Linked DNA regions of Saccharomyces cerevisiae S288C. The gene in region 3 interacts genetically with the main gene of each other region. Each region holds a gene or a part of one and is shown on either strand. Other genes may lie near its edges. The genes, in order: GND1, ACO2, SEC59 and TMN2.

Evidence for each region.
Region 1: mutations in SEC59 (region 3) and GND1 together harm fitness less than expected from each alone (positive genetic interaction), as found in Saccharomyces cerevisiae (one large-scale study listed by BioGRID).
Region 2: mutations in SEC59 (region 3) and ACO2 together harm fitness less than expected from each alone (positive genetic interaction), as found in Saccharomyces cerevisiae (one large-scale study listed by BioGRID).
Region 4: mutations in SEC59 (region 3) and TMN2 together harm fitness more than expected from each alone (negative genetic interaction), as found in Saccharomyces cerevisiae (one large-scale study listed by BioGRID).

What each region holds. Positions count from the first base shown.
Region 1 is NC_001140.6:467,773-472,929, reverse strand, and holds GND1 (phosphogluconate dehydrogenase (decarboxylating) GND1), read right to left. Parts: upstream 1,971-5,157; coding exon 501-1,970; downstream 1-500. Other genes in the region: SSP1 (Ssp1p), read right to left, coding at 1-186; RGD3 (Rgd3p), read right to left, coding at 2,354-4,711; SVP26 (Svp26p), read right to left, coding at 5,016-5,157. UniProt on the Saccharomyces cerevisiae protein: Catalyzes the oxidative decarboxylation of 6-phosphogluconate to ribulose 5-phosphate and CO(2), with concomitant reduction of NADP to NADPH.
Region 2 is NC_001142.9:55,306-61,467, reverse strand, and holds ACO2 (aconitate hydratase ACO2), read left to right. Parts: upstream 1-2,654; coding exon 2,655-5,024; downstream 5,025-6,162. Other genes in the region: PHO90 (SPX domain-containing inorganic phosphate transporter), read right to left, coding at 1-624; MBB1 (Mbb1p), read left to right, coding at 1,286-1,612; ECM25 (Ecm25p), read right to left, coding at 5,290-6,162. UniProt on the Saccharomyces cerevisiae protein: Catalyzes the reversible dehydration of (R)-homocitrate to cis-homoaconitate, a step in the alpha-aminoadipate pathway for lysine biosynthesis.
Region 3 is NC_001145.3:294,195-299,170, forward strand, and holds SEC59 (dolichol kinase), read right to left. Parts: upstream 2,545-4,976; coding exon 985-2,544; downstream 1-984. Other genes in the region: translation initiation factor 3 subunit CLU1, read left to right, coding at 1-773; BUD22 (Bud22p), read left to right, coding at 4,674-4,976. UniProt on the Saccharomyces cerevisiae protein: Catalyzes CTP-mediated phosphorylation of dolichol, the terminal step in de novo dolichyl monophosphate (Dol-P) biosynthesis. Dol-P is a lipid carrier essential for the synthesis of N-linked and O-linked oligosaccharides and for GPI anchors.
Region 4 is NC_001136.10:667,207-672,769, forward strand, and holds TMN2 (Tmn2p), read right to left. Parts: upstream 3,829-5,563; coding exon 1,810-3,828; downstream 1-1,809. Other genes in the region: ARP10 (Arp10p), read left to right, coding at 1-652; TRS85 (Trs85p), read left to right, coding at 4,063-5,563. UniProt on the Saccharomyces cerevisiae protein: With EMP70 and TMN3, plays a critical role in the late stages of a nutrient-controlled pathway notably regulating FLO11 gene expression. Acts downstream of RAS2 and TOR. Essential for cell adhesion and filamentous growth.

The DNA.
Region 1 (5,157 bases), on a different chromosome or scaffold from region 3:
ATAAAAATTCTTGTTAAATATTTCAGGAACATCCTCCTCTCCTTGGTGGTTGTTATTTTTCCCATTTTGTAACCACCTGCGCATTCTTTCCCTAAATTTGGTAGGCTTTTTCTGCTTCGACTGCTTTGGGGAAGTTGAGGTTATTTCCCCAGAAGGATCATTCTCATATGTGCCAGAGCTTCTCATTGTTGCTAGCTTTTCTACTCTACTTCTATCATGATAATAGGCACTATTGTGAAATTTTTCACTTTTATTTTATTTTCTGACTTCATGATTTTGTGTCGCCTGTTTGCCTTTCCTTACGTAAAAAAAAAAAAAGAAATGGAGATAGTTTCGGGACCCCGTTTATAAACCTTTAATATTTTAGAAAACACATAACTTCATATACTATTTATAATTGCATTTGGATTTATTTATCTATTTATTATTATGATTACTTTTACTATAACTAATCTATTTCATTAAATTTTTTTGGTTTATGTCCAGGTTGGAGATTTCCTTTAAGCTTGGTATGTAGAGGAAGAAACATTACCACCGTGGCCAGTCCAGTTGATATGGATATCCTTGTCTACTGGCAAGTTGTCAGAAGCACATTCTGGCAACACTCTGAAAGTGTGAGCACCAAAGTAGTCACGTTGAGCTTGTAGTAAGTTGGCTGGCAATCTTTCAGATCTGTACCCATCGTAGAAAGACAAAGCGGTGGAAAAGGCTGGTGTTGGGATACCGTAGGTGGTAGCCAACGCAATTGACTTTCTCCAACCAGATTGAGCCTTGGTGACGGCATCAGCGAAGAACTTGTTGAACAACAAGTTTTCCAAATCTGGTTCTTCTCTGTAGGCCTTTGTGATTTGACCCAAGAAAACAGATCTAATGATACAACCACCTCTCCACATCAAAGCGATGGCAGGGTTGTTTAGTTTCCAGCCATAAGTAGCAGCAGCTTCACGGATCAACATGAAACCTTGAGCGTAAGAAATAATCTTGGAAGCATACAAAGCTTGTTCCAAATCATCGACAAATTGTTCTCTGTCCTTGACGGCGTCTTTTGGAACTTCTGGGCCTGGTAAGACCTTGGAGGCTCTAATTCTCTCGTTCTTCAAAGCAGATAGACAACGGGCAAAGACAGCTTCACCAATCAAAGTAACTGGCATACCCAAATCCAAGGCGTTGATGGCAGTCCACTTACCAGTACCCTTTTGACCAGCAGTATCCATGATTTTTTCAACTAATGGCTTACCGTCGACGTCGTCGAATTTCAAAATATCTCTGGTAATTTCGACCAAGAAGGAATCCAAGACACCATTGTTCCATTTGGCAAAAACGTCACTGATTTCCTTATCGGTAAACCCACCCAATCTCTTCATGATGTCATAAGCTTCACAAATCAATTGCATATCACCGTATTCAATACCGTTGTGAACCATCTTGACGTAGTGACCAGCACCGGCTGGGCCAACCCATTCGCAACATGGTTCACCGTCGGATTTAGCAGAGATGGATTGGAAGATGTTCTTAATATGTGGCCAAGCTTCTTCAGAACCACCTGGCATCAAAGATGGACCGTAACGGGCACCTTCCTCACCACCGGAGACACCAGAACCAACGAAAAGAATACCCTTCTTCTTCAATTCTTCGTAACGTCTATTAGAATCTGGGAAGTGAGAGTTACCACCATCGATGATAATATCACCCTTTTCCAAAAGTGGGACGATTTGGTTGATCAAAGCGTCAACTGGAGCACCAGCTTTAACCAAAAGCATGACCTTTCTAGGTCTCTTCAATTTGGAGATGAAATCTTCAATGGAAGTAGCACCGATGATAGATTTGCCCTTAGCTTCATTGGCCAAGAAATGGTCGACCTTGGATTGAGTTCTGTTGTAAGCACAAACAGTGAAACCGTGGTCAGCAGCGTTCAAGATCAAATTTTGACCCATGACGGCCAAACCAATCAAACCGAAATCAGCAGACATTTTATTGTAGTTTTTGTATAGAAAGTGGCTTTTTTCTGTAATGGCAACAATACAGGTTTATATGTATCAGGCTATTTACTTTATTATGTAAGAAAGGACCCCACTAAGAAAAAAGGAAACCTTTGAAAAAGAAACAAGCTCAGGAACAATACTGCAGCTTTTAACGAACATCAGGCCCATTTATATAATACAGCCTCGAAGCCCACCAAGGCCAAAGCGCAAGGCCGCGTGGACCACCAGGACGAAGCACCGCGTAACACCGAGGCACCGTAATGTAACACCGACAGCCACAATAGGTACAAAAGCAGCACAACCTCGAGGCGGGACGAAAGAACAGAGAGGTAGCAGGTGATTTACGTAGTTACTATGTAGCATGCATGGAGTTATGTAGAAGGGACATCGTTGACGTTGATGGGAAGGAATAAACCACTCTTACGTTTAGGTCTCTCTGGGGTTGTCGGAGTAGAACTAGTCTTGAATGGCCGAGGTATGAAATGGCCATCCTTGTCGTTTGGCGGTGGCTTAGGGGTAGAGTGTATAGGTGCCGTTGTATCCTTTATAATTATCGTCGGCGGTTCAGTGAGTGTCGCAGTAGTTGCCGTCGTGATCCTGTTTGCGATCAACGTTTGCAAAGTTTCTACAGTTCTTTCGTTGATGAAAAATGTAGATAATGTTGGTGACAAGATTTTGATGTCGATAGGGTTCTGTAAGCCTGTTCTTCTTACGAAGTGATGGGCCAATGGTATGTCTATGTCACTGTTGTCTCTAAACAAATCTTGTATTGTTTGCGGCGGAAGTGAGTATTTGCTATTGATCAATTGAAAATGGTTTGCTAGTTCTTGTAGAAACCTTAAGGAGCTCGTCGGAAACTGTTCACATAGGGATGTTAGCGATTTTTCGGCCTTAATTAAGTCATCGTAGTGGTTTGAAGGTATTAGGCTGTCGGGTAGCTCTAACAGCCATAATTTTATCAGTCCGACGAGATCATTAGTGACATAGCTGTGCGAGTTTTCAAAAAAATGAGCAGTGATTATAGAGTTTGTATTTTCGGTAGTTTTCGATCCTTTGAATTCCCCCAATAAGTCTCTTTTCAAATTAGAAACCCTTACAAAATCAATATCCCTGTGCCAACTTTGTATGACTTTATTAGCATTTGGTTCCTTTTCAATCTGCCGCAGTATAATCTTTATTGCCCCTAACGTATCAAGAGCAGCCAGTTCATTATTTATTTCACTACCACAGAAAAACTTTTCGCTTTTTATGGAGATTTCTTTGCAAGCGTCGACTGGATCACTCGCTTCTAGGATATTCCACCTGCGAAAGGGTATGCCATTATCCCTGAGGAAAAACCCTCTTACATCCGCATTGGCAGTTTCCTGTGGCAGTTGTGCTTCTTGTAGAGAACACACAGGTGAGTCAGTAAATTTTTCACATTTTTGTTGAAACATCATGTTTGATGATTCTAGAGCTCGTTTGATTCCGTCCTCCATTTTAGAGTAATTTTTACAATAATCATAAATGGTTTTTTCCAACTGCACTTTAGAATATTCCAACTGGCAACACTTGGAGAAAAAAATATCTTGTGATGATTCAAGTTGCTGTTTTAAACTCTTCCACTCATTTTTATTCATATCTGTACTTCCCGCTGCATCGCAATCATCATTATCATGTTGACTAACTTTGCGGATCCAATCGGATATAGATGTTTTGATAGATGAAACGTTGGACTTTTCTTCGTGTTCATTGTCGGAGTGTGTTAACTCACCATACGATTTTTTTTTTCTGTTTCCAGCATTACCATTACTCTCTTGCGTAGCAAGGACTTCACTGTTCCAGTAATAGTATTTTTCCTGGTCAAACTGAGAAACTTTGCTAGAGTAAAAACTCAGGGAATATTCTTGTATTATACCCAGTTGGATGAATTCGTTACCTATCCTATCGATATTAAATAAGGACAGGTTTAGTCTGGGTTCAAGTTTTTTCAATTCTTTGATCAATGACCTGCCTTGGAAACTTTGATTTGACAATCCTGGAACGGAAAAGACACTTTTCTCCAGGATGACTTTTCCCTTCAAGGTTTGCAAAAATGACATAAATTGGTCGCAATCCTCAAATTTTAACCTCTCGTCTAAAGTGTAAGGAAACTCGCATACGAAGTTCAACCTGGTTAACGGTGCACTATCCTTTCCATTATCAAAAACAGAGGAAGAATTTTCCACTGGCGTATTGGCTTTTTTCAATTTATATATAGACTGAACTCTTTTCTCACATCCAATTAGTGCCTCTTTAGCTGCGACTAAATCCTTAATGTAAGCTGAATAACGAGATGACAAATCGTTTTCTGCCTCACGAAGGAAGCTCTCATTAAGATCTCTTAGTTCTTGCAATGGAATTTTACAATCTCTTTCAACTTGCTCTGTTGATATTATATTAAACTGTTTGCTCATCACTTCCAGCAGCCTGCTATTCATTGAATTGGTTGCTTCCATTTTTTGTAAATTGTTCAATGTTGGTTTCCAAAATTTGTTGACAAAATCATTGTAAAATTTGATGTCTTTAATCAGCAAATCATTTTCTCTCTTCATATGTTTTATGAATAATTTGATACCTGTTGTATAGTCTTTGGTCCAATATGTGTTCCTTAGTGAAATTTTAACTGAGTCGCAATCAATGGAGAGTTGCCTCGAATTCTGTAATTCATCACCAATAATATCTTCTTCGTTATGCTCTTTAACAGACATAACTAGAGACCGAAAGAAAATGCTCTCTTTCTCTTGCCTTTGTCTATGTAATGACAATACTTAATCTACTGGGCCTGACTGGTTTTTTGTTTACTAGTTGCTCTAAAAAATGCAAACGTCAATAAAAAAGAAAAATATGGAAAAGAAAATATACTTTCCCGTATTAACTTGGGTAAAATATAGTAGTATTGTATTGGTGATTTTTCTTTCCTGTGCAAAATAGTTGGCAGAGCATTACACATATTTCTTATTTAGAATATTCAAATAAAGAAAAACTAACTACATGTTAAAAAAAAAGGCAATCCTAAACAGCCAATCTATCAAAGTCAGGTTCTATCTCATAACCGAATACACGGGCTAGAGAGTAGATGTACTTCCTTACCGAGTTGATGACTACACGAGCTAACCCAACAGCCCTTTTACGAAATTTTGGCTGGTTGTTCGTT
Region 2 (6,162 bases), on a different chromosome or scaffold from region 3:
TTCGTCATCATCCAAGTCTAGTGGGGGAACTTCGTCATTTGTGCTGGCAATCGGTTCGTTAAACAGAGTATCATCGTCGATATCGTATTCTATAACTCCGATTTTCTTCAGGTCCTTCACCAGCGCGTCAAATTTGTCGTAGAACTTCGCTTCTGTCCTCTTATAAAAATCATCTACTTTCTGTTTTTCAGCTGTTAAATCACCAACAAACGTATCATAAGTGTCTAATTGCAGATTTTCGTTGGCCGTGGAGGAGACGGACGATGCGGAAGACGACCTTCTTTTGTAAAATATCTTTTCCTTCATTCTTCTGAAAGGAGAAGGTTTGGCAGCGACCGTCTGAGCAGTAGGCAACTCTCGCAACTCGATGGTTTCCTCAACGATGCCTGCATCTTTGTTCATACCGGAAGACGTATCTTCCTTCGCATTTTTAAAAGAAAACTTGTTTTTGAACCTATCTGTAATGTTAGAGCTCTTTCCTGCGCCAAATCCTTCTTCGTTATCACCAACCTGAAGTTCATCTGTTTGTAGCGTGTAAATAAGATTTTTCAGCTCGCTGTAGTCCATATAATGGTTTTGCCATTCTGGGACAGCATTGTACTTCAAGAAGTGTGAAAATCTCATGATCCTGTACCAGCTACCACTTACTCGTTTATCCTAAAAACAACTTTATTGGCCGGATGACATCGAAGTGAACAGTGTTCTTTATATCGATGAATCAAAATTTTTCAGTGAGCCATTCATTCTTCGAGAAGCAGCGCAAAAAAAAACAAAAAAAAAAAAAACGGCTGTAGCTGCGGCGATATTGTGAGCGCCCCGCTTTAGGGCGACTTTACCCATAGTAAAAAGGGAAGACAATAACGAAATAAGAAGAGAAGAGAACCGTGGTTTCTCTGTTGCTTAGGATCATATACGCCTACAGCAAGGCACCTCTTTATGCGTATGCAGTCATACAAGGAGTGTGGAAATGCAGCACAGATGGCCTTCGCTGCTTGCCAGGCTGCCATTTTTCTTGGCTGCTGCCGCTACTACTGATTTTCTTACCTCTGCTAGAAACCAGTGGAAATGATTTATTCACAATCTAGCACCATGCAACATACATCCAAATCAGTGGAAATACGACATTATTAGCCGGCCCTTTACGTGCCAAAGGTAATAACAGTGAACGGGAGATGGGAAGCTTAATGCTGTTACCCGCTATCGGTTGTTGCTATGTAAACCAAATATAAATGCAAGCCAAAAAAAAAGGGTAACATAAGGTTAAGTAGGAGAAGGGAGATATTGAATGTATAAGGTGTCAGCATGTGGGGTGAGGATAATGAGTGGCATATCAGAAATTTGGATTGGCGAACTTAGAGATTACAAGTACGCTTTACGTCTTGATAGAGAAGAGTATCCAGCGGTGCTTGTTTACGAGTATGACTCGTCTTCTACTAGGAACTATCTTTTTACCATAAAGTACAGCGATCAGAGGCCGAACTGGCAGCTCATTACTCGTGACGCAGCTTTAACAGCTTACGACTTACTTAACAGAGGTGGCGAGTTCACAACTCTCAGCTTTCCGGGAGCCACTATTCACCGTTCAGTCAGTGAGCTGTCCCGATTGCATTAACAATATATAAGGGAGCAGAGCGAAACAATATGAGGTTCAGTAACATTTAAGGGTCGCTATTGAGTGTTTTGTGAGATATAAGTGAGTTTTGAGATAATTGTTGGGATTCCGTTGTTGATAGAGGCTACAATATTATGTATACAGAATATACTAGAAGTTCCCCTCGAGGATATAAGAATTCTCAAATGGAATCTATACATACTAATAATACGACTATTCCTCATTCCGTTTTCATATGTTTCGTTCCTATTACACTATCAATCCTTGCATTTTCAGCTTCCATTACATTTGATGACTGATTCTCAATCTTTATGTTATCTTTTTACACCACATGTGATAGTATACTACTAAACAGTATGCGGTAGCTATACTCTTTAATGAATGGGCGAAGCCTCCCTAGTATTTTATCTTGACATATCTAAAGGATTGCACAATATTGCGATTTGTTCTCCACAATGAAACCTTCTCAATAATTGTCCGATCATCCACCCATTTCTTAAGATGATAGACGATTCTTAGTCCAATAACATTGTATCCTTTACGTTCCGTAGAATATCATGTTGTTGATCCTCTTCTCAGCACAGTGCTTATTACTCTCACATCAACATCAAAAAAATTGCTTCATGATTAAAATGTTTGTGGAATATAACCGTTAAAATAGGTCAGGCAAATATAAAATAGAAGCTTCTATGGCCAAGTTGGTAAGGCGCCACACTAGTAATGTGGAGATCATCGGTTCAAATCCGATTGGAAGCATATATTTGATTTTTTAGCAATTAATTTTTTTTTTTTTTTTTTTTTCACGCTCTTGAGTCATCGCGAGTAAAATTCCACTGGAAAATTTTTTCAATATATACAAAGTTCCACAATATCATACAGCTCTCACATCGTAGATTATGTCAATAGATGGTATGGCATCAAACATGTATATAAACTAAAATATTTTCATCTTTTCGTATTATTCGATTTGCGCACTTGCAAAAATAAGAATTTTCGACTTTCTTTAAACATAAAACTCTAAGAGCAATAAGCAAGAGATTCGATGCTATCTTCAGCTAATAGGTTTTATATAAAGAGGCATTTGGCAACACATGCCAATATGTTCCCCTCTGTATCTAAAAATTTTCAAACAAAAGTGCCACCTTATGCAAAACTTTTGACCAACCTAGACAAGATTAAACAAATAACAAACAATGCTCCATTGACACTAGCAGAAAAAATTTTATACTCGCATCTTTGCGATCCTGAAGAATCGATTACTTCTTCTGATCTGTCCACCATCCGTGGTAATAAATACTTGAAGCTAAACCCAGACCGTGTAGCTATGCAGGACGCTTCTGCCCAAATGGCGCTTCTACAATTCATGACCACCGGTCTAAATCAAACATCTGTCCCAGCATCCATACATTGTGATCATTTAATTGTAGGTAAGGACGGTGAAACTAAAGATTTACCCTCTTCCATAGCTACCAACCAAGAAGTTTTCGATTTCTTGGAGAGTTGCGCAAAGAGATATGGAATTCAATTCTGGGGCCCAGGTTCTGGTATCATTCACCAGATTGTTTTGGAAAATTTCTCAGCTCCAGGTCTAATGATGCTAGGTACTGATTCCCATACACCAAATGCAGGCGGTCTGGGAGCTATTGCCATCGGGGTTGGTGGTGCGGATGCAGTTGATGCCCTCACAGGCACTCCATGGGAATTAAAAGCACCAAAAATTTTAGGTGTTAAATTGACCGGAAAGTTAAACGGATGGTCCACTCCTAAAGATGTAATCACAAAGCTCGCTGGTTTACTAACTGTCAGAGGTGGTACTGGTTATATCGTCGAGTACTTCGGCGAAGGTGTATCCACTCTATCTTGCACAGGTATGGCAACCATCTGTAATATGGGAGCTGAAATCGGTGCTACAACGTCAACTTTCCCTTACCAAGAAGCTCACAAGCGTTATTTGCAAGCAACTAATAGAGCAGAGGTCGCTGAAGCAGCTGATGTTGCTTTAAACAAGTTTAACTTCTTAAGAGCCGACAAAGATGCTCAATACGATAAAGTTATTGAAATTGACTTATCCGCAATTGAACCTCACGTTAATGGTCCATTTACACCAGACCTTTCAACCCCAATATCTCAATATGCCGAAAAAAGTTTGAAGGAAAACTGGCCCCAAAAAGTTAGCGCTGGTTTGATTGGATCATGTACCAATTCATCTTATCAAGACATGAGTCGTGTTGTCGACTTGGTCAAGCAAGCTTCCAAAGCCGGCTTGAAACCACGTATCCCCTTCTTTGTCACCCCTGGTTCAGAACAAATTAGAGCTACCTTGGAAAGAGATGGAATCATCGATATTTTCCAAGAAAATGGTGCCAAAGTTTTAGCAAATGCATGCGGCCCTTGTATCGGACAATGGAATAGGGAAGATGTCTCGAAAACATCAAAAGAAACGAACACTATTTTTACATCATTCAATAGAAATTTCAGAGCTAGAAACGATGGTAATAGGAATACAATGAATTTCTTAACATCCCCAGAAATAGTAACAGCGATGAGTTATTCTGGAGATGCTCAGTTCAATCCGCTAACTGACTCAATTAAATTGCCAAATGGGAAGGATTTCAAATTCCAACCACCAAAGGGTGATGAGTTACCAAAAAGAGGATTTGAACACGGTAGAGACAAATTTTATCCTGAAATGGATCCAAAGCCAGATAGCAATGTAGAGATTAAGGTAGACCCTAATTCTGATCGTTTGCAATTATTAGAGCCATTCAAACCTTGGAACGGGAAGGAATTGAAGACAAACGTGCTTTTGAAAGTTGAAGGTAAATGTACAACAGATCATATTTCCGCTGCGGGCGTCTGGTTGAAATATAAAGGCCATCTAGAAAACATTTCTTACAATACATTGATTGGTGCACAAAACAAAGAAACCGGTGAAGTCAACAAGGCTTATGACCTTGACGGAACTGAATATGATATTCCTGGTTTGATGATGAAATGGAAATCAGACGGTAGACCATGGACCGTGATAGCGGAACATAACTATGGTGAAGGTTCCGCAAGAGAGCATGCTGCTTTGTCACCAAGATTTTTAGGCGGAGAGATTCTTTTAGTTAAGTCTTTTGCAAGAATTCATGAGACAAACTTGAAGAAACAAGGTGTGTTGCCATTGACTTTTGCCAACGAATCTGACTATGATAAAATATCAAGCGGAGATGTTTTAGAAACGTTGAACCTAGTTGACATGATTGCTAAGGATGGTAATAACGGTGGTGAAATTGATGTTAAAATTACTAAACCAAACGGTGAATCGTTCACCATCAAGGCAAAACATACTATGTCTAAAGATCAAATCGATTTTTTCAAAGCTGGTTCAGCAATCAATTATATTGGTAATATACGAAGAAACGAATAAATTCTGAAGAGATATTAGCTAAAAATTAAGAGTCCGATTTAATAGTCATAAGCTAGTTTACACAATTCTATAGACTCTGCATATAGACGGTGCAAATAACCTACCTATTTATTTATTTATTTACTATAAAAAACGTAATATTGTTTGATATATAATATTATACACGAGATCTCGACTGCTTCAACTACGGCTTAACTCAAGGGTGGGGGGTATTTTGTTGTCGTATATGCAATATGTATGTGTTAAAAAGATACAATTATGTAAGTTACCACCTTTGTTTCATTTCATTCATTACTTGTAAACCTTGTAAACGTTCTTCGTACAATGCAGCTAGCCTGCTAACCTTGTTGCTTGCTTTAATATCTGAATATCCCTTTTGAGAGAATTTATCTGCTGTCTTTGAAGTAGTTTCATTTTTCTTCTTCTTTTCTTGTAGTTCTTTGTCGAACTTCTTAATCTTCGCGTTTTGGACGAGGGTTAAACTTTCAAACTGTTGTACGAATATATCTGTTTCCACAGAATTTTTATCCTTTGCTGGCTCGTCCTTAACCATTTCTTTGATATTATCTGATATCGTTAAATCGGTGCTGCTGTTACTCAATGGAAGCGAGTCTGCTGATGGAGTCTTCGTCGGTGAGGATAATGTATCTGTAGAAGAAGAAGCTAATGCCAAATCTGTATTAGAATTGGAAGTTAGAGACAGTTGTGGTCGTGTAACTGCCTTAATAGGAAGTGGAGGTTTGGCATTGAATGATGGGGATGAAACATTTCTGCTTGAAGACTTAGGTTTCAAGACTGGTGTATTTTGTAATGCGACAGGTGTGTACGTTGGAGACGTAACAGATCTTTGTGGACTAGGGCTTCGACTTCTAGGAAGGGTTAAGCAGCCTAGTTCACTGTATCTGGTTGGCGACGACTTCCTTGGCTTAGGCAAAACAGGGATAGTAGAAGACGATGATACGGATGAAGGAGGTGATGATATTTCCTTCGCGATTTCGGGGAAAAAGTCCAGTAAATTTTTAATATATCTCGACCCAATAGCTAAACGATCATTAGTCATCATGGAAAGTTTTTCCTTACATAACGCCGGAGTTAAAGCTTTACTTAGGGTCCTTGAATCATGTTTAGTCGATTCACC
Region 3 (4,976 bases):
AAAAGTACTTGTCATTATCTGCCATTTATAATAAGTTAGCATTATACCCTGAAGCTATCGCGTTCTGTCGTAAAGCATGTACTATTTATGAAAGAGTTAGCGGTATTGATTCTTTTGAAATGATGAGGGCTTTAACTAATTTAGCAATTCTAGAATTCTCTAATGAAAGTCCTTATAACGCTACTGTGGTTTATAATAGGCTCGCAGAAATCCTAAAAGTTTATGAGTTACCAAAAATCCATCACCCAGCCCCCACAAGCATTTTCAACCATTTGGAACAATTAGCCCTAGGTGTTCAAGATACCAAATTGGCTATTGAAGTCTTGGGACAACTAAGCTCCTATGTTGTGGAATTAGAAGGCAAAGATTCATTAGCATATGGCTATACCGAGTCACGTTTAGGTAATTTGTTTGCAGCATTGAAGGATTTCCACCGTGCATTAGAGCACATCACTGTAACCCAAGGGATTTTCACCAAGCAATTGGGTATGAATCACACGCACTCAGCCCAATCAAGACAGTGGGTTAATGGTTTAAGCTCATTAATAATGGATTTAAAACAAAAGAAGCAACTTGCACAAGATCAAATGTCGACAACGGGATCAAATTCAGCTGGCCATAAAAAAACCAATCACCGTCAAAAGAAGGATGACGTTAAACCTGAATTGGCTAACAAAAGTGTGGATGAGTTGTTAACATTTATAGAAGGCGATTCTTCCAACTCTAAGAGCAAAAACAAAACCAACAATAAAAAGAAGCATGGTAAGAAATAGAGAGCTAACTTAACAATCTCGTTTATTTATTATTTTTCTTTATATCTATAGCCCATACTTGTATATACTACGTGTAAGTACTAGATATAAAACGAAAAAAAAATACTTACAATTATTTTTTTTTCTTTACTGCTCTATTCTTTTCTTTATTCTATTCATAAATGCAAACAATTAGTTATGTAATTTTAAAAGTTGAAAATAATTGACTTTGTCAAAGAGTAATTAATTTTTCACAAATCATCATAAATGCAGGTATCAAAATATTGTCATTAAGCACACTATTACCTTCTAGCACTCCACTCAGTGTACAAAGGGTAAGCAATTGTAAAGTAGTTAGGTGGTTAAAAATTGCAGCTTTATCAAAACGTAACAATACCAAACAAACGATAAAACTCGTTACTATAAACGCAAGAGTTCCCTCTAAAGTTTTTTGTGTACCTTTCCAACGAATGCGGCCATACCTTTTACCAATAATAGATGCTAAGGAATCACCAATTCCCAATCCTATTAGACCCATTGGAGAGTTATTCATTAATAAAGGTGTTGATATTCCGAAGAGTAAATAAAGGTATGATATGATCAATGGCCCGCTGTGGTCCCTATCATCAGCAAACCTTCTTAGTTGTAATTCAATAGCAGATCCTAACGGCGGTAGGTTTTGAAATCTTATGTACTCAATTGATAAGAAGACTGGTATTGTTCCGGACAATGCAATTTTCACAAAGTTTGAATCCATTTGGAATGACGGTATTATGAGTAAGAAAATGATGAAATGCCACAATTTTCGGGAGGTGTTCAACGATAGACTGTCCTTCTCGATCAATATACTTGGTATGGACAGTATAAGAATTGAAGACCAAGCAAACAAAATCTTTTGACGAATAGTAGACTCTAAGATATATTTTACCAGCCAAAGTAGCGGATTTTCACCGTCTTCTAAATGAATGAAGGTATTGGCAAAAAGTGGAAGCCCGATGGCAAAGGATATTGACAGCATAAACGGTTTAAAGTGCATTACCTTTTTGAGCACATAGTTAATTGAAATTATTGTTGTGAGAGCAAGGATAATGCCCTTCAAAATTCTAAAATGTACTGTGCCAGCCTCTGAAACGTACAGAATATTGGTTAATAGGATACTAAAAAGATTAGAGTCGATATTATCTAAACTTTTCAATTGCCCAATATACTTCAAAATTAACGACAGTAAAGAATTTATTACTATGCTAATAATATTCTTTAACCTGTCACCAGCCTCAAAATTAAAAAATATGAGGCAGAGCTGTAAAATGATCACTACCAACTGAGTTCGCCATCTATATGAATTTAATACCGAAAGGATCAAAATAGTATTTATCACCGTAGATGATGTATCGAACAACAACGAAACCATAAACGGTAAATATAAACTGTAAATGGTATCGAACTTGGGTAGGCTTTTGTAACCATGTTGCCAATATTTTGTGAATATCAGACCAACCATTATCAAACACACCACAAAGACATTTACAAAGATTTGTTTATAAGATATATCAGCGGTAACAATGGACCACGGCTGAAGCCTTTCAACACAGTAAAAAAAAGTGCCCAACAATATAACAGTTTGAACAAAATTCGAATAAAAGCACTCAAAATCTCGAGAATTCCCGCCCACATCAAATTTACGAGTCCTCATATTGATTTTGCAGATCTCCTCAGTTGGCATTTGGCTTCCCTCAGTTTTCTGGGTTAGTTTAATTGTGGTAAAGGAAGCATGAGGTATTATAGCGACCATATAGGCAATGAACAGAATAACGACAGTTTATTGCCTCGAAAGGAGTCTGATTTACTAGCTAAATTCTAATATTTGGCTTACTACAAACTCTATCTTTCATAGAATACGTCCTTCGATACCATTTTCACCATCTTGACTAACAACGTGTACAACTCTTTTGAAAATTACGTGCCTGAAAACCCAACCATTGCGGACAGCCCTCAATAACGTATCTTAGCATTACCCGCACACCCATACATCTAGAACTTTTTTCATTTCTGAAAATTTTTTTTTCTTCTAGGATTACTTCGGGTATAAATAAGAGACGCAGAAATGGTTATTGGCAATTAATGCTTCCTCTCTTTAATAAGTTACAATATTAGAATCCTATGATTTCCATCACAAAGATCAATACAAAAGAAATATTCAGATGAGTGGGAGCTATGAAAGGCTGAGAGAGAAATTGAATCCATAAAACGTTTTTTTCCGTGTTCTTTTTTTCTTCTTTATCAAAGTTAGTTTTTCAGATATGTCTTTTGTCATTATCACAGGCTAATTATTCCCTTGATGACCAAAATAAATTTTTACAAACTAGAGTTTCTGAATCTTTTGTGATTAGAACGTTTATTCTTATTTCTGAGGTTTTTAATTAGCAATAAAGAAGAAAAAACTGAAAGGAAAAGTCTAAATAGAAATACAGTAGTATTTCTTCAATTTCTCTGCTCTCCTTTCATTTACCACACCCATTTCAATTTTCTTTTTATTCCATATTTATTCAAAGGTGTTTGTTCATATGATGATTATAACAAAAACAAAAGCTGGAATTACTGGCTGAACGAGTATATGTTGATACGTTTTTGCACTATCCTGACCTAGCAAACACCTTTAAAATAAATACTAGAAAGTTGACACATTTCCATAAATTGGAAGAATACATTTAAGCTTAGAAAACAGTAGTTTTTTAGTGCTATTCTTCCGTAGATTGATGTTTTCGATCTATTTGATACAATGGAAATGAGGATCCACAGCACTGGGCACTGAGGGGGAAACAAATATCCTTTCAAATGAGTGACAATGCTTTAGCGGGCCTAGAAAACCCGCGCAACTGATCCATTGTAAGTTTTTCTGAGGGCTAACAGAATTTTCTATAGGGAAGAATGGATTTTTTTCTCATTTTCGTATAATTATGTGAATTGGTTTTTATGATGAGATATTTATAGATGACGAGTCTGATCATTCGTGAAGACACAACTATTAAAATTACCATTCATGCCTTTCTGAAGCTGTTTACATTATTCTTTTCGATTAGCAAAGAATTTGGAAATAGAAAAAAATCGACAGATAACTAGTTCATCAGTTGATGTGTCTGTATTGCTTCCATGTTTTTTAAAGAAAATTTCTACCTTAGAGACGTCAATGCTGCAGAAGATGAAACAAATTACTCAAATAGACAAGCATATGTCTGATCTTCATGATTGAAAAGAGCAATTAGTGTCTGATGCAATTTAAACTAGAAAATTTATCTGAGAGAGATGAGAGATCGTACAAACTGTTTCAAGGTTTTTAACTTTTCTCCAATTTCAAAAATTGTTTATGATGATTTCCACATTTCACGACGGTCAACTGCGTTTTTCGAATGTTTATCGATTAACTTTGATGATATTTCGCCTGTGACAGGGCGTGGTACTGAGCTTTAATATTTTTAGCAAATTTAGAAATTGGGTCAAGCGAACCATTGTAATGCTGACTATTTGGACGACTCTAATCTCTTCAATATATTTGAGTTCAAATATATTAACTTGAGTAAATTTTCTCTTGCGTTAATTATAACTAATTGTGATGTGATGACAACTTCTTGAGCTATATATTTTCTTGAGAACATCAATGAAGAAAACGTCTCATCAAATGATTTGCACGTCAGTCTGATCACAAGCCATATAAAATTCTTTAAGTATTTTATCCATTCTACCTTTTTCATCTGTTAGTGATCGATTAAAGCAACACCCAGACATTACATGGCCCATATGGCAAAAATTTTCATCTCATCTACCTCATCACTGTGTGCATTTAGTGTATGAATGACTACTTTAAGCAATTTAACCAGTATATACGTATAAAGAGGTCAAGTGTACGGATAACCCAAAGGAAACATGCCTTCCGAATCATCCGTCTCTATCTACAAGCTTGATCAGTTGGAGTATCAGTACCATTATTTGACAAAATCATTACAGAAGTTTGAACCAAGATATCCAAAAACTGCCAAATTATACAATTGTATAGGTAAAAAGAACAAAAAGAAAATTGAAAAACTGTTAAACTCTTTAGAGTTGAAAACTTTGGACAAAGAACTAGATGAAAGTTACTCAAAGTTACTCAATAATAAGATTCACTATTACGAGACGCATTTATCAAAATGTATAAAAGAACAAATTCAGAAAATATCCAAAAAAAAT
Region 4 (5,563 bases), on a different chromosome or scaffold from region 3:
AGAAGATATCTTCATTTCTGTAGTAGAGAAAAGAATTATTTGTAGCATCTTGTTTAAGGAATTTGACTGCGCTCACGTTTCGTTTGTCCCCAGGGCCATTGTGCACTGCTTATCCTGTAATACAAGGAATGCCATAGTTATAGATATAGGTACCAATTATACTACATGCGTACCTATTTTCGACCTTAGACCTTTGCAACAGTTCATAAAATACTCAAAACGAGGCAAAAGACAGGTTGAGTCAAGAATTCCTCTCCCGGGCAGTCTCTACATGCCAATATTTTTTGACGAAGAATACAACTCTAAAAATTGTGAAGTAGATGAAACCCCGGTAATAAATCTTGTCAAAAATATTGTAGAGTCACTTCCTATCGACTTGAGAAGGCCACTGAGAGAAAATATCATTATAGTAAACATTGAAGAGGCGTATGAAACAGTAATAAGGAATTTATTCAAGTTAAAAATGGATACGTCCAAAATCCAGTTTCCTAAAAATTACTGGCAGGCTGGTTCTGCATGCGCGAAAATACTTCTGCACTATAAGGGGAGCAACATTGTAGGAATAGAAAGAGATGAGTTTTATAACAATCCTCATATTGCTCCTGATTGGTTTGATTATTACTTCAGAACTGGAGTGAAGCGCTTACAATAGGCTTTATGTATATGTAGAAAACAAAAACAGGAAGTGTTCTCTTCACCAAACTGCGTCTTTCCACAACAATTAGCCTTATTGAGCTTTTGATGTAAAAGTTTATGATAGTAAAGAGCTATTTTTAACAATAGAGGAGAAAAAATAAAAATGGTCTCTAGCGGGATCGAACCGCTGATCCCCGCGTTATTAGCACGGTGCCTTAACCAACTGGGCCAAGAGACCAATTTGGATCGAAAGTGTTGTATCTCAAAATGAGATATGTCAGTATGACAATACGTCATCCTAAACGTTCATAAAACACATATGAAACAACCTTATAACAAAACGAACAACATGAGATAAAACACGGCCTTCCCTAGCTGAACTACCCAAACGTATAAATGCTTGAACAATTAGTTTAGATCCGAGATTCCGCGCTTCCACCACTTAGTATGATTCATATTTTATATAATATATAAGATAAGTAACATTCCGTGAATTAATCTGATAAACTGTTTTGACAACTGGTTACTTCCCTAAGACTGTTTATATTAGGATTGTCAAGACACTCCGGTATTACTCGAGCCCGTAATACAACAGAAAGTTAACCATTAATATTTCACCTAATTACACACTCTCCTAAAGAATTTGGATTTGATAACTATCATGTCATTTGAAAGAGTAACTCGTTTTCAGATTTATTATTGCCGGAATAAAAATAAATAAATATATCGAATAATATTCTTTATTATTAATGTCGAATGAGTTGTTAGAAGACTTCATAACAATTATCGGATTTAATGGAAGCTGAAGTGCAAGAATTGATAATTTAATAAGATAATGAATTTAATATAAAATATAAACGGAGAGAGAATAATGTTGTTATATAGAATTGTTGATTCCCTTTTGCGGATTTCTTATATCCTCGAGGAAAACTTCTAATATATATCCAATATAATCGTTTCCAAATTGTGAAAGAAAAAAAAATCTTCAATACAGTGTATTAGTGCTACATAAAAACGCGTTAAAACTTGCATTCCAATTTATCAAAAAGTTTGCCAGGACATATAGGATATAAATGCATTGCGAAGTAAAACACTTCTCAAAAAATTAAAAAAAAAAAAAAAAATAAAACTAACGTATTCACTTCTTTTACTTTAGTGGAGAGAATAACGAAATCACTCAACTTTAATGGCAGAGTATATCTTCCTAATAAAAAACATACTACTAAAAAAACCAATCGCTCCAGTGACGACACAACATAATGCAGATATAATAAGTGAATATCCGAGATAGAGCACGACAGTAATAACTCCACCAAGCTTGAACTTAGTAAATAGTATGGAGTGGATGAACGTATAGATTGAACATCCTAAACCACCAATAATAAAACTTCTCCATTGCCATAGCCAGTTTTCTAGACATAACGAGTAATATGTGATCAAGATGGTAACTAATGAGGTTGTCAAGGTCAACAATAAGAATGAAAAGAGTAAAAATCCAAACATATAAAAAATTTTGTTGAACCATAAACTGGAGTAAATGAAGTACAGCTCAACCGCTATTGATCCGAAACTGAAAATTCCAGCGATTAAGGTTGCTTGTGCTGTTCTCAAGTACCAGGGTTGATATGGAATCTGTCTGGCGATTTGGTTTGTTTTAGTTGGATGCTCATCCCAATTACACTGCTTATGAGCAACAATTGAACCCGCAAACGACAACGGAACAGAAACTAAAAACCATAGAAGAATGATAAAGAATAGGCTTCTCGCTGGGATGACACCTGAAGAATGTGCAAATAACAAAAAGAAGTTCATTATTACAATCAGTAAAAAAATTGCTCCAGGAAGTAATATTGGCGTTAATATCATATTCGCCTTCCAATAGGGTCCACGAAAAAATTTGTAGACACCCATTGAGGCGTAGGATCCTACAAATCCAAATAATGCATAAAGAACAAACATTACAGTTGGCAGGGATCCTCTGGAAACAGGCGACACAAGACCTACTGCGGCAAAAAAAATGCTACACATGACCATCAAAAATAACTGCATACCGGATCCCACAAGAATGGATAGCAGCATCGACTTAGATGGGGTTCTAAATACGTCACCATGGCCCAATTTCCAGCCAGAATCTTCATGGAATTCATTATCCAAGTTTAGTTCGTTATAACGAGCGAGATCGCTTTTCAAAGCCCGTAATAGAGAATGCATTACAACAGATGACAACAAAATAACAATAACGGAAAAATTTATTAATGAAAACCATTGTATCTGCGGGTCATAAATATGTAGATACTTATCCCATCTCGTAGCCCACACTGTATCAGAGGCAACAAATTTAACAGAATAAGTGAAGTAAACCTCGTTATCCTTATCCTCGTCTAGTATCAGAGGTTTTCCCGTTGTAGAACACGCGCCAGGTGACGATCTTTCGATAGATACAGGGTTTACAATGACACCAACAACTCGGTAATTATCGTTTCCACGATCGTGAAATTCCACTTCAATGTCAAAATGATTTACAAAGTAAGGTAATTCTACCGTTTTAACTAAATTAGGCTTAACATTCTTGGGCAGTCGAGCATCCAATATAACATCCTCATTTGAGGCCTCTGAAGTAAGCTCTTCCATCGTACTGGGAACTGCTTTACCGTCAACGGTTTGCTTAACATCTGTAAAACCTAACTCAAATCCTGTGCCGTAATAGTTTGTTTTTGTTCTGCTATCATAAGCCTTTCTTGCTGCTGGCAATCCATCCACGAGCCAGTTTTGGAAAAATCCACTTTTAATAAGGGTGTTGATAAATTTGGCATCTTTTCCCGGAATCGTGCTTTTACAAAGTGCAACACACTCTTTCTCCTCTAACATGTTCAATTGGAATGGGGAATTGTAAATTCTGTCACCAAATATGACTGAACCTAACGACTCAGGCTGTTTCTCAACGTGCTCTGGTCTACAAAAATGAAACCTCTTATTATAGTAATCATAGGAGTAAAGAAAATGTTCTTTATCGCCTGAAACATCGTTACCTTCCTCATCTTGATGCTGAAAGTAAATTGATGGAGTCAAGCGGTTCACCAATAGCGGGATTTCATCGCCTGAGTGATATGTTGTGGGAGATAGGCCTGGCAAGGAAAATCCTTTAGTTAAAGTTGCATAGCAATAAATCAGCAACCAAACACCTCGTTTCATTACCGATTATTAATTATCAATATGTGTACTAATATAATTGTCAAAATTTATGATGTAAATTTAGGGTTCCCAACATATTTTACTCAACTGTAAACAAGTCATAATTTCCTCGGACAAAATTAGGCAAAATAACAGAAAAACCAATGGATGGGATGGGTAGGAAAATGAGTAAGTAACCCAAACAAACGGTACCTCTTTATTCAGTCGGCTTTACAGATACTGAGGTAACTTATAATGGTTTTTTCTTATGAGCACTATATGAATCTCCTTTTCCATTTGGATAACAGTAAAGAAACGGTGCCTCCAGAGATTGCAAAAAGAATAATTTCAAATGCTATAGCTCCTGTAATAACAGTTACTTCAACTCCTCTCTTCGACAAACATATTCAAGAAACGTACAAAGTAGATTCTCTCTATATGCTGCTGCGATTCTTTGGCGGTTGTGTCTCTGATAGAGATCAAGCCAATGAAGCGAAGGTTGGACAGCATGAGCATGAGGTTTGTGATGCAAGTGACTCGACGGATTCAATTCCCAAAAATAAAAATTTGGAAGTGCCCAATTTATCAAAGAAAGGTAGTCGCAGTAGGTCGAATAGTCTTTTCCAGAGGGATTCAACGCAATCTCAATATATCAGGTTTACAAGGCCATTAGGTGACTTGATCGAAACAAGAGATGCAAATGATATGTTATTCAATTACCATTCTTTAGAGGTATTCTTAGATAATTATTTGAAATTGGTTGCAGCAAATACTGATGAAATGGTTCCTCATAATCTTCTTAAGAAATCCATTTATCATAGTTTCTTTTCACTAGCAATTTCATCCACAAATAACTTATCGCCCTATGAAACTTTTAATCACCCTATTCTTTCCTTGATTGCTTTAGATATATCAAATGGCGAAGTTTATGAGGATGCAAGAGATCTTTTAGTCAATTTCAAGAATCTTAATCATAATACTGAAAACTTTCCTATCTTCATGAATACAAATGAAATGCTTCCAGTTTTCTTACTCTGCTACAATGACGATTCCCAAGAAGAATTCGAAAAATGCCAGGCGTTAGCTAAGAAACTAAAGAAGCAGTTGTTTGTTGAGAGTATCTTACTAGCACTCTGGAAGGATTCTTTTATTTACGACGAAAATTCAGTCATACAGTTACACCAACCAGTAATGTCATCGCTTGAAGAAATTCTCTTCTTCCTTCAAGCTCCAACTCAAACAACACTCTCTCTGGCTTTGATAAACTCGATCTATGATATGCTTGATTATTTGGTTTATGATTTAATGATACCATTCATGAAAAGAAAAGTGTCATTCTGGGAAGAGACAATTTTACAGCCAAGAAAGTCGCTATTTAATGGTGCAAAGTTTTTCAAAAAATTTATGAATAAAAATCCTGTCAATGGTAATCACCAACATAATTCTCTAACGAGAGACAGCCAGGGAAATGAATACTTCGCATCGTCATCTTCTGAGTTTTTGATGAGAAAGTTAGCAGATTGGTCTATGATGCTATCCGACTTCAAAACTGCTTATTCCACATACGAATCGCTTATGGATGACCTAGATGCATTTCCAAAGTACCTGGCATCATGCATCGAATGGTGCGCGGTATCACTATTGATGGGTGCGCAGAGCATAGTCACCGTGAAAATGATCAAAAACGATATAAATCCTCTTATCGAAAGGGCATTAGCCACATACGAAAACTGCTCACGAATACAACGTGGTAAAG